Oryzias latipes: one gene and its partner. The protein of the gene in region 2 binds, or shares a complex with, the protein of the main gene of each other region. Links are inferred from orthologs where the notes say so. Each region holds a gene or a part of one and is shown on either strand. Other genes may lie near its edges.

Region 1 (4,342 bases), on a different chromosome or scaffold from region 2:
TGTACTGGAAGGTTTTAATAAAATGATGTTCTTCCACAAAACCACCAGGGTGCAGCGCTGCCTCACTCCAGAATTTCTGAACTGCGCCTCTGGTGCAGAATTCTTGATGAAGTTTGTTGATGGTCATTTGATGTTCTCGGTAGGGGCGGTTTGCGTCAATACAGCACACATGCAGACACGTAAAGAGAAGCGCTTAAAGGTGTGGAATCTATCCAGATGCGTTGGATGGAAATTAACAGACATCTGCAGTGATGAACCCCCCCCTCAGGTAAAACTGACTTGGATGGGACCCATTTGTCAGGGTTTGCAGCAGATGGAGGCTGTCAAAAAAAAAAAAAGACGAAACAGAAACACTCCTTCCTCCTCCCCACTTTCTTTTGCCCAGCTTCTGCTGGTACAAACCAGACGGGCACAGGTAGAGTCATCACCAGAACATGAAAACAGTCGTTTTATTCAGCTAACATTTATACATAGCAAGGAAAAAAAATACCCCCCCCCCCCCCAACACACACGCAAGACAAGAAGATGACAGGTGCTCAGCGCCGCTGGTCGTACGTCCGTATTGTGCTCCACTCGTATGACTCTGCAGAAAGACGACAGGCTCGGATCACTGCCAGAGAAATCAGCAGAACCTCAGGCTCATTTGGGTGAAAGTGGACTCACCTGGTTCCTCTTGGCTCCTTTTTCCCATCAGCCCCACAAACGAGTTCACTTTATGTCCTTCAGGGCAAATATGACACGGATTAGTGGGAATTCGTGGCACGCGTTCATGTAGCACATCAGACCTAACCCATCTTTCACACTTGTGTCCAGTCAAGCCTCCCTGTGACCTTTGACCCTGAGCGGTTTCTGATTGGTTGGAGCTCCTCTCCGATCGCAGCGATTGAATCTGCAGCGGCTGCTCCCTGGAGAAATCTAAACTGACCGCTTCTCTTTACAGAGCGGCAGTTGGCACCCTGATGGAAAACATCTTCATCATCTGGACGCGGGCCCGACTGTGAGGAAGAGGAGCCTGACATCCGACAACCGACAGCAGCTGCCCGTCAATCACATTCAGGGAAGGGGGGCTGTATAACTGACAGATCAATATGTATTAAGCTGATGGCCTCGCTCCAGGTTGGGGGTGGGGGGGTCCCCGTCTAAACAGTTGTGTCCTTGAAGCAATGATGAAGGGTAGTCCTTCCTCTTCATCGTGACTGACAGCTGTGCAAGTGCGTGTGCGCTTGGGCGAACGCTCGCTTTGCTGCCACCGCTCCATCCCTGAGGGGGCGACTAATTAAAAATGTTTACAAAGAGGGCGGACTCCCCACCACGCTTCTCCCTTTTTTTCTGCACCCCCCCACGTCTGACAGATTAAATAAGGAGAACCGCTGCTGAGCTCAAACACTGTCCATAAATAAAGCCCACCCCTCCCCGTTTCCCTCCCACCTTCACTTCAAAGCACTGATTAACAGGAAATTTCAGCTTTTTGTTTCTCAGGAAGGTATGGGAGGTGGTGTTGGGAAGGGGGGGGGGGTCGTGATGAGGGTGTCTCCTCCCGAGGGCTTGAATCGGAGCTTCAGCAGCAAGAACATGCAAGAAGCTGGAGGGGAAGGGTGGGGGACCGAATTCTCACTTCATGACAAAAAAACTGAAGATCAGAATGGACACTTACTTTTCCTGGTGATCTGTGCGTTTGCTGGAGGGGGGTAAGGGTAGGGTGGAGGTGGGGGCAAACAGAGACATAGAGTGTGAGCGGCTCATCCACACACACACACACACACAAATGGAACAGCCCTCACCCGTGGAGCGCCTCCCCATCAGGCCGATGAACTGATGCGGCCGCGGCTTCCTCGTCATCCTCAGCAGCATTTCTCTGAGCGGCTCGCTGGACAGCCAGCCGTCCTGGTGGGGTGGGGGGGATCAAATCCAGAGTGTTAAAACTCTATCTGCTCAAATGACCACAGCAGATAAAATAGAAACCCAGAATAAAATGCCCCCCACCCCATCCAGCAGTGAATAATTGTCCCTTCTTCTCAGTTTCTATTTCAGTCTCTCAGGATGGATCTCTTCTGAACACATTAGTGGGTGTCTTCCTCCCCATGATTTGTGGCAGCCTTATTCATCAGGCTGTGCCGGAGCAGACCGGACATGTGGAAGCAGCTACTGTCCGAACGCTGGTGCACAGCAGCCAATCCTGGTTCGATCCAGGCCCTACTCAGACTCAAATCACCAAAGAGATGTTGCGAAATTTCTCTCTGGATTAATCTATTATTATTATTATTATTATTATTATTATTATTATTATTATTATTATAGGGGGTGGACGTAGTTTGAATTGTCTCTGAAATTTCCAGACTTTTGTAACACAACTACAGAATGTGCAGAATTAAATGAAAAACTGCTGCTCCTCTCTAATAATAATAATAATAATAATAATAAAAATAAAAGTGAAAATAAAACTATAAAACCTTAAATTCAATCAGTACTACTTGTGTCTTTCCCCTTCCAGTTGCAGTCGGCGGATCTGACCTGGTGGTTCGTGCTTGTCCAGTAGTCCGCGTCCTCCTTGGGTTCGGGGTCCTGGCAGAGCACGCGCACGCCGGTGAGCAGAGCCACGAGCGCGGACAGCAGCAGCAGCAGCTTCATGGTTCAAGCGTTGAGAGTTGCATCGTCCGCGCTGACACACTTTATCTGGGCGCCGCGCGGAGGCGGTGCCGCGCGCGCGCGCGCCGCTACCTTTCTTCTAGCGCAACAAGTCCCGGGCGCGCGCGCCTCCTTTTCTTCTGTCCCCACGCGGTTTTGTTGCGTCGTCGTTTAGTAAGAAGCAGGATTACTAGAGTAACGTGCCCCGCTTGTAAAAAAGTAACTTCATGTTCATATGAAGTAAAACTAGATTTACATTTAGAAAGTTCCAAAAATGCACGTGTGCACCTCATCCACAGGGCGTGTCTACAATTTCAGTGCCCCACCCACAGAAAAAGCCCTCTTTAGTAAGATACATCAAACCACGCCATGACCAGGACTTTGAACCGGGCTCAGAACCGTTCTGACCAATGAGAGAAGGAGCTGCAGATATGAATGAACCAGGAGGTCTTTGCAGTTCTGAGCACGTGCAGCAGTTGCTCATACAAACGTTAACCTCTTTACTTTTCGGAATTGTTGATGTTTAGGCTTTTAGCTCGTCTTTCTTTGGGAGTGACAAGGAAGCATAGGATCAATATTCATGGATTTTTGTGAAAACATTGAAGGGTTAAAGGCTGATGTCAGAATTTCCAAGGAACATTGAGGTGAAAAGAGGATGAGCGTGAATGTGGTGGAGGACAGCAGTGTGGGCGAGGTGACAGCAGAATGTAGGGTTAGATGGAGACAGAAGATCCAAAGAGGCGAGCTTTGAACTGGAAAGAAAAGGGGATTTTAAAAGAATTATTTTAATCTTCCGATATTTTTGCGCTTTTAGTCTAAGAAATTTTTTGTTTTTTTTTGTTCTAAAACAGATTTCAGCAACAATGTGAGCAGCATTTCTGCAGAGAATCTGTCTTGAAAAAGAGAAAATGTACTTAGTTGCTTTTCTGCTATTTAATTTAATTGAACAGCACCATTACAGCACAACAACACCTTAACATCTTTGTTACACGCCCGCTGGTAACGAAGGCCTTAATAAGTCCCCACATCACCTCTATGGCTCAACAATAGTGGAAAAAATACAAATAAATGCCCTGAACACACAACTGCTAGGCGCAGAAGATATTATGTAAAAGACCAGCAAATGTAGCTAAATTTAAATTTTGTATATTTCTTGTTTGTCTGAGCCTTTTTTGTGTTTGCCATGTATTTTATGTCAGAGGTTCAAATATTTTTATAGATAGATAGATAGATAGATAGATAGATAGATAGATAGATAGATAGATAGATAGATAGATAGATAGATAGATAGATAGATAGATAGATAGATAGATAGATAGATAGATAGATAGATAGATAGATAGATAGATAGATAGATAGATAGATAGATAGATAGATAGATAGATAGATAGATCGATCGATCGATCGATCGATCGATCGATCGATCGATCGATCGATCGATCGATCGATCGATCGATAGATAGATGAAAAAGATGCTTGTTCAGTGTGAACACCATGGGCTAAATGCGCATTTAAGAACTAGCCTGTTCTTAATCACGCGTCACATTCCCAGTGTGAACTTAGCTTTAGACACTCAGATTTAGGCCAACTCTTTGTCCCAGAACATGAAGGAGACCAACAACCCAACAGTTGAGGCATCGTGTTCCATTGTCAAACAGCAAGAGAAGGAACAGTAACAGAGGATAGAGCTGCCATAGAGTTCTACAGTAGAACCAAA
Region 2 (4,512 bases):
GTGTGCGGTTCCACCTGGCAGCCTGAGCACACTATCCCTCCCCTTTCCTTCTCACACACGCGTGTGACAGGAGCGCGCAGTTGCAGGGACGGCAGTTCACAGGTTTCAGGCTGTTACAAACTCTGTCATATAACAGATAATAATAATTCCATAGTGGCGCAGATTTTTCTCCAAGCACTGAGCCCCTGTCACCAACGCGCCCTGTCAAATTTGTGCCCGTGCCTAAAACCGCTACTTCTGCGTGCCCCCCCTTTGAGAAGCACTGCTTTATAGCAACTCTGCCTCCTATAAAACAATTGGACTTTTGTTTTTGGCTGAGTCCACAGTGTTGTTACTGTATCGATTTTAACACATTATCAAAAGAACAACACTGAAAGAGCTGCTGATCATCTGGATTGTGTTAATTATGATGGAAAATAGTAAACAGTCTGCACTTGGATAGTACTTTATTGGCTACTGGTACTCAACACACTTTTACGCGGCTTCTCATTTACCGGTACTCACTTTCTCCCACAATAATACACTACTGAGGAAGCGGCCATGCCGCTTAGCTTAACCCGCCAGAGAGAACTCAGCAAACAGTGTCTTGCCTAAAGGCACTTTGAGATGGAACCGCCAACTGTTCCCTAGGAGACTCCTCTACCTCCAAGCCACAGCTGTCCCTTTAGGAGTGAAAAAAATTAAGCCAGACATTTTGTTAATAAATACTAAAACCAAGTTCAGGTTCACATCAAGCCTTGAATTAGTTCTTGCTTAAATTAATTTAAATTTAACTTCAACTCACTGACCAAAGTTACTGTTTTTCATGTCTTTTTTTGACCATCCATTTTCTAAACCTGCTCAATCCCTTTAAGGGTCACAGAGATGCTGGAGCCTATCCCAGAGAAGATAGGGAAGGGATAGGGCACAACTTGGATGGTTTGCCTCGAAAGGCATTTTTATGACTGGCAGAGCAAAATAATGATATACATAAAAGTTGCGATTTAATAAGTGATAATATATGAAAGTCTTAACTGATATAGTTCTTAAGCTCAGTTTCCTTTAAAGCTAGAAAAAATAAAATCCAAGAAAAACATGTTGCATCCTTTGAACGACTTCATGAGCCTGGAGGCTGCAGGTGGGCTGTTTTGAAGAAGCCAACACACTGTTGTTGGCACCCAGCTTTACTGATAATCTGTGAATTGTGCAGTGCAGGAACCCCATGGCACTCTCACAGCAGACAATACAATGAAGCAGAGTCTCAACACTACCTGTGATGAGATCCCACAGATCTCCATTTGTATTTTTCAGAGGGTGTCACATCTAAAAATACACGGGAGCTCTTCAGCTCAGAGAAATCAAGAATTTGAAAAGGAAAAGATTAGTTGATTCCCCTTATAAAAAACTTTCCTCACCTCTGATTAAAATTGTTTTCATTACCTCTTCCACTGGATTAACAAATTCATTTAATTGCTTTCCTGCAAAAATAAAACTTCATTTTTTAACAGGAAGGAATGAGAATGTTTTCTCATACAGATTTAAAGCAAACTGGCAGCAGGGAAGTGAGGTGTTTATACTGTGGCGTGATGCCACTCTAATCTTTTTTGTTGTTTTCTGTCTCTTTGGAGCTCTCAAAAAATGTCAATCACACATTTCTTGCTAAAATTGATTAAAAAGACCTGCCAGCTATTTCCATTATGTGACCTGCCATATGCAAAAAAGACAAAAAAGAGGCAAAAAATGATCATGTTTGGGGCTTTATCCGACTTTGGCTCAGATGTGGAACTCATGCATCCAGGACTAAATCTGCACCCTCAAACACACACTTCATATGAATGCACAACAAGACAAACCTGTTAAAACAGTGAGACAGTGACACAAACACACAGAACATGTTACACATTCCAACAGAACTTTGGTTTTTACATATTCATTTTCATTCTATGGCATTGTGTAGAGGAGATGCCCATTAAATAGAGAAAGCACTATTATCTTCTGACAGACTTTTACATATTTATATGAACAGATGATGCCACAAGGTCATAACAATTTTGAACAATCTGCTTTTGGGAGCTGCACTTGCTTGTCTAAATCATTTATCTATTGCAAATGTTTAAAACAATCAATCTTTGTTTTGTTGGGGAGGGGGGCTCTATGCACAGCTCAGATTTAAGAGACTGCATTGATGTGCAGACTGCAGCAAAACTCCATCATGAGATTTTGAAATCTGATTTTAAATAAGGTTTTATCACCATGAACTCCTTTATCTCTGCGTTTAGAAAATGTGTCATATTTCTGCATTATTAACCAAGCAATTCTAAATTGTTCTCACTAATATAAATTTTAACAGAGGAAAAAAAACATGTTATGGAACTTTATGTATTGTAAGGTTTTTGTTTTTCTCCACACATATGTTGTCATCTGTCTTTTATCGACACAAGCGCAGCGTGAGCAGCATACGTACCTGTCCAGAGCGATCGCAGACATGGAGTAGATGCTGGCGAAGACAGCGGCGATTGGAAAGAAGTTTTGGAATCGGCAGTAGACCAGTCCAAAGTACCACTCGTTGTGCACTGCGTAGACAAAGTTGATCACCGTGTTGAAGGTGGACATGGAGGCTTCGGCGAAAGCCAGGTTCAGCAAAAAGTAGTTGGTGACAGTCCTCATGCGTTTGTGCGCCATAATGATCCAGATCACCGTAACATTGCCTACTGTTGACACTATAACGATACAACTGTAGGCAATAGCCCAGAGGACGATTCTCCAGACAGGCTGCACAAACTGGTTCCCGTACTCTTTGTCGTTGTCGGTGTCGTTGGGGCTCGCAGTCCAATTTGGCACAGCGCTTGTATTAAACAGAGGATCCATTCTATTGTTGTGACAGCAAGTGGAGACTACCCACTGAACATTACGACTTGAAGTGAATAATTCCGGTGAAACAGTGAAGAAAAGGTCACTTCAGAAAACCTTGCAACCTTGCGCTCATTTGGGGGAAAATGCCTCCTTTTCCCGATTATAGTTCAGACTGATCTCGGCAAAGTGTCCACCTGAAGGCCTCTCTGTCTTGAAATTCATATAAAAAGATATCTTAAACCTTAGGTTCGACAAAATCTCAAAAATCTGCCACTCTAGACTGTGCGTAAAAAAATGGAACGGCTTTTACGCGCGGCACAGCAGTAGAAGGAGTGCGCGCTGCCTTATCGTGTCTCACACAACAGAACGCTCAGCTTCGTCCTCTCACCCTCAGAGTCTGAGCGCCTTCTTCGAGTTTCTCTGTTCGATCTGAGCAGCTGCACTCCCACTTATGAAGGGAGCTAGTACGCACCCGTCCAATGGGCAGGCTCAGTGATTATGATTATGGATGAGCGAGGTAAGTTATTCATTCCTTCCGAATAAAACCGCATGGGGACTCCAGACGGATTATCATGCTTAAATGCCCTCTATCTGATTTAATTTGCGTATTATTCATCTGTCGACAATAATACAACATACGGATGGGGCAGGGGGGGGGGGGGACAATGTTACATCAATCTGGCAAAGAGGCTTAAAATAATCAGGCAGGCAGTAAAGAAAAATTTTTGAAAGCAAAAGTTCAACAAAAGCACTCCCAGAGTCTGTATTTATCATGTGCTGATGCTGAAATAGTTAACCTCATAGTATACTGCATATCTCATTGATTGTCTTATATGATGTGGTGTTCAATGATGCGCTGCGCTAAAATTCCAACATTGGTTCTCACTGCCCCCTCTTGGTTTCATATTTGTGAACTGAACATTCAGGAACATGTACAACATTTGATTTATAATTTATAGAAATGGGGAAAAAAAATGAAAAGAAAAACAAGTGATTTTAATTTTACTTGGTCCATGTAACACATTTTTAGAAACGGCTACCTTTAGAATCCACCAGTCTCGGTGAGAGCTGTTTGTCCCTTTGTCATGTTTTTTGTCTCGCTCTTGTGAGCTTTTAGTTTAAAACAAAGGTGCATTATCCATGGTATTTAATGCACTGCAAGCAGGTCAATTATGGCAGAACTTCCACATTTCACTAAATACAACAGAAACATTCCAAGTGTCAAAGTAAAGAAAACGTTTTGCTTCCACTTTTGCTGCCATGACTGTCACGCTTTCACCTTTTGGCTATTATTCAATCTGCCCACACACATAGCAAAAATCCTTTCTGATCTATGATTGTATGAGCAGCTTCAATTTATTTCAAATCAACAGATTGTTGTTTGAACCTGTCTTAGTTAAGCCACCTCTTTCATCCAGTCAACATATGACAGTAAATTTACTGCCCAAAATGGTCACGTGCATGGTTGTTCAGAGACAGAGAACAAAGGGGTTAAGGCAACAGGCTCTAGCAAAGACTGACTGTAAAAAAAAAATCTAAATAAATAAATCTTTAACAGACTAAATAAGTATTTAACTAAGAAAGCAGCTGAAAAGATAGTGCACTGAAGTGCAGAAATGAAAAACTAAACTTAAACTGAGAATGAAAAAAAAGTTAAAATAAAAAAAAATCAAGAAACTA

What was found.
Region 1: the proteins of tacr1a (region 2) and tac1 are in contact, whole or in part, in a cryo-EM structure (PDB 7P02), measured with the Homo sapiens proteins. The link is inferred for Oryzias latipes from reciprocal best matches to the Homo sapiens genes TACR1 and TAC1. Residues at the interface, in NP_001049.1 of Homo sapiens: Gln24, Phe25, Asn85, Asn89, Tyr92, Ala93, Asn96, Trp98, His108, Asn109, Ile113, Gln165, Met174, Arg177, Val179, Cys180, Met181, Ile182, His197, Val200, Phe264, Phe267, Phe268, Tyr278, Leu279, Ile283, Gln284, Tyr287, Met291; in NP_003173.1 of Homo sapiens: Lys60, Pro61, Gln62, Gln63, Phe64, Phe65, Gly66, Leu67, Met68.

The regions. Positions count from the first base shown.
Region 1 is NC_019869.2:20,881,746-20,886,087, forward strand, and holds tac1 (protachykinin-1 precursor), read right to left. Parts: upstream 2,639-4,342; 5' UTR 2,629-2,638; coding exon 2,512-2,628; intron 1,885-2,511; coding exon 1,782-1,884; intron 1,679-1,781; coding exon of another isoform or gene 1,655-1,678; intron 721-1,654; coding exon 664-720; intron 584-663; coding exon 537-583; 3' UTR 523-536; downstream 1-522. UniProt on the Homo sapiens protein: Tachykinins are active peptides which excite neurons, evoke behavioral responses, are potent vasodilators and secretagogues, and contract (directly or indirectly) many smooth muscles.
Region 2 is NC_019867.2:25,963,980-25,968,491, forward strand, and holds the start of tacr1a (substance-P receptor-like), read right to left. Parts: upstream 2,848-4,512; coding exon 2,444-2,847; intron 1-2,443. UniProt on the Homo sapiens protein: This is a receptor for the tachykinin neuropeptide substance P. It is probably associated with G proteins that activate a phosphatidylinositol-calcium second messenger system.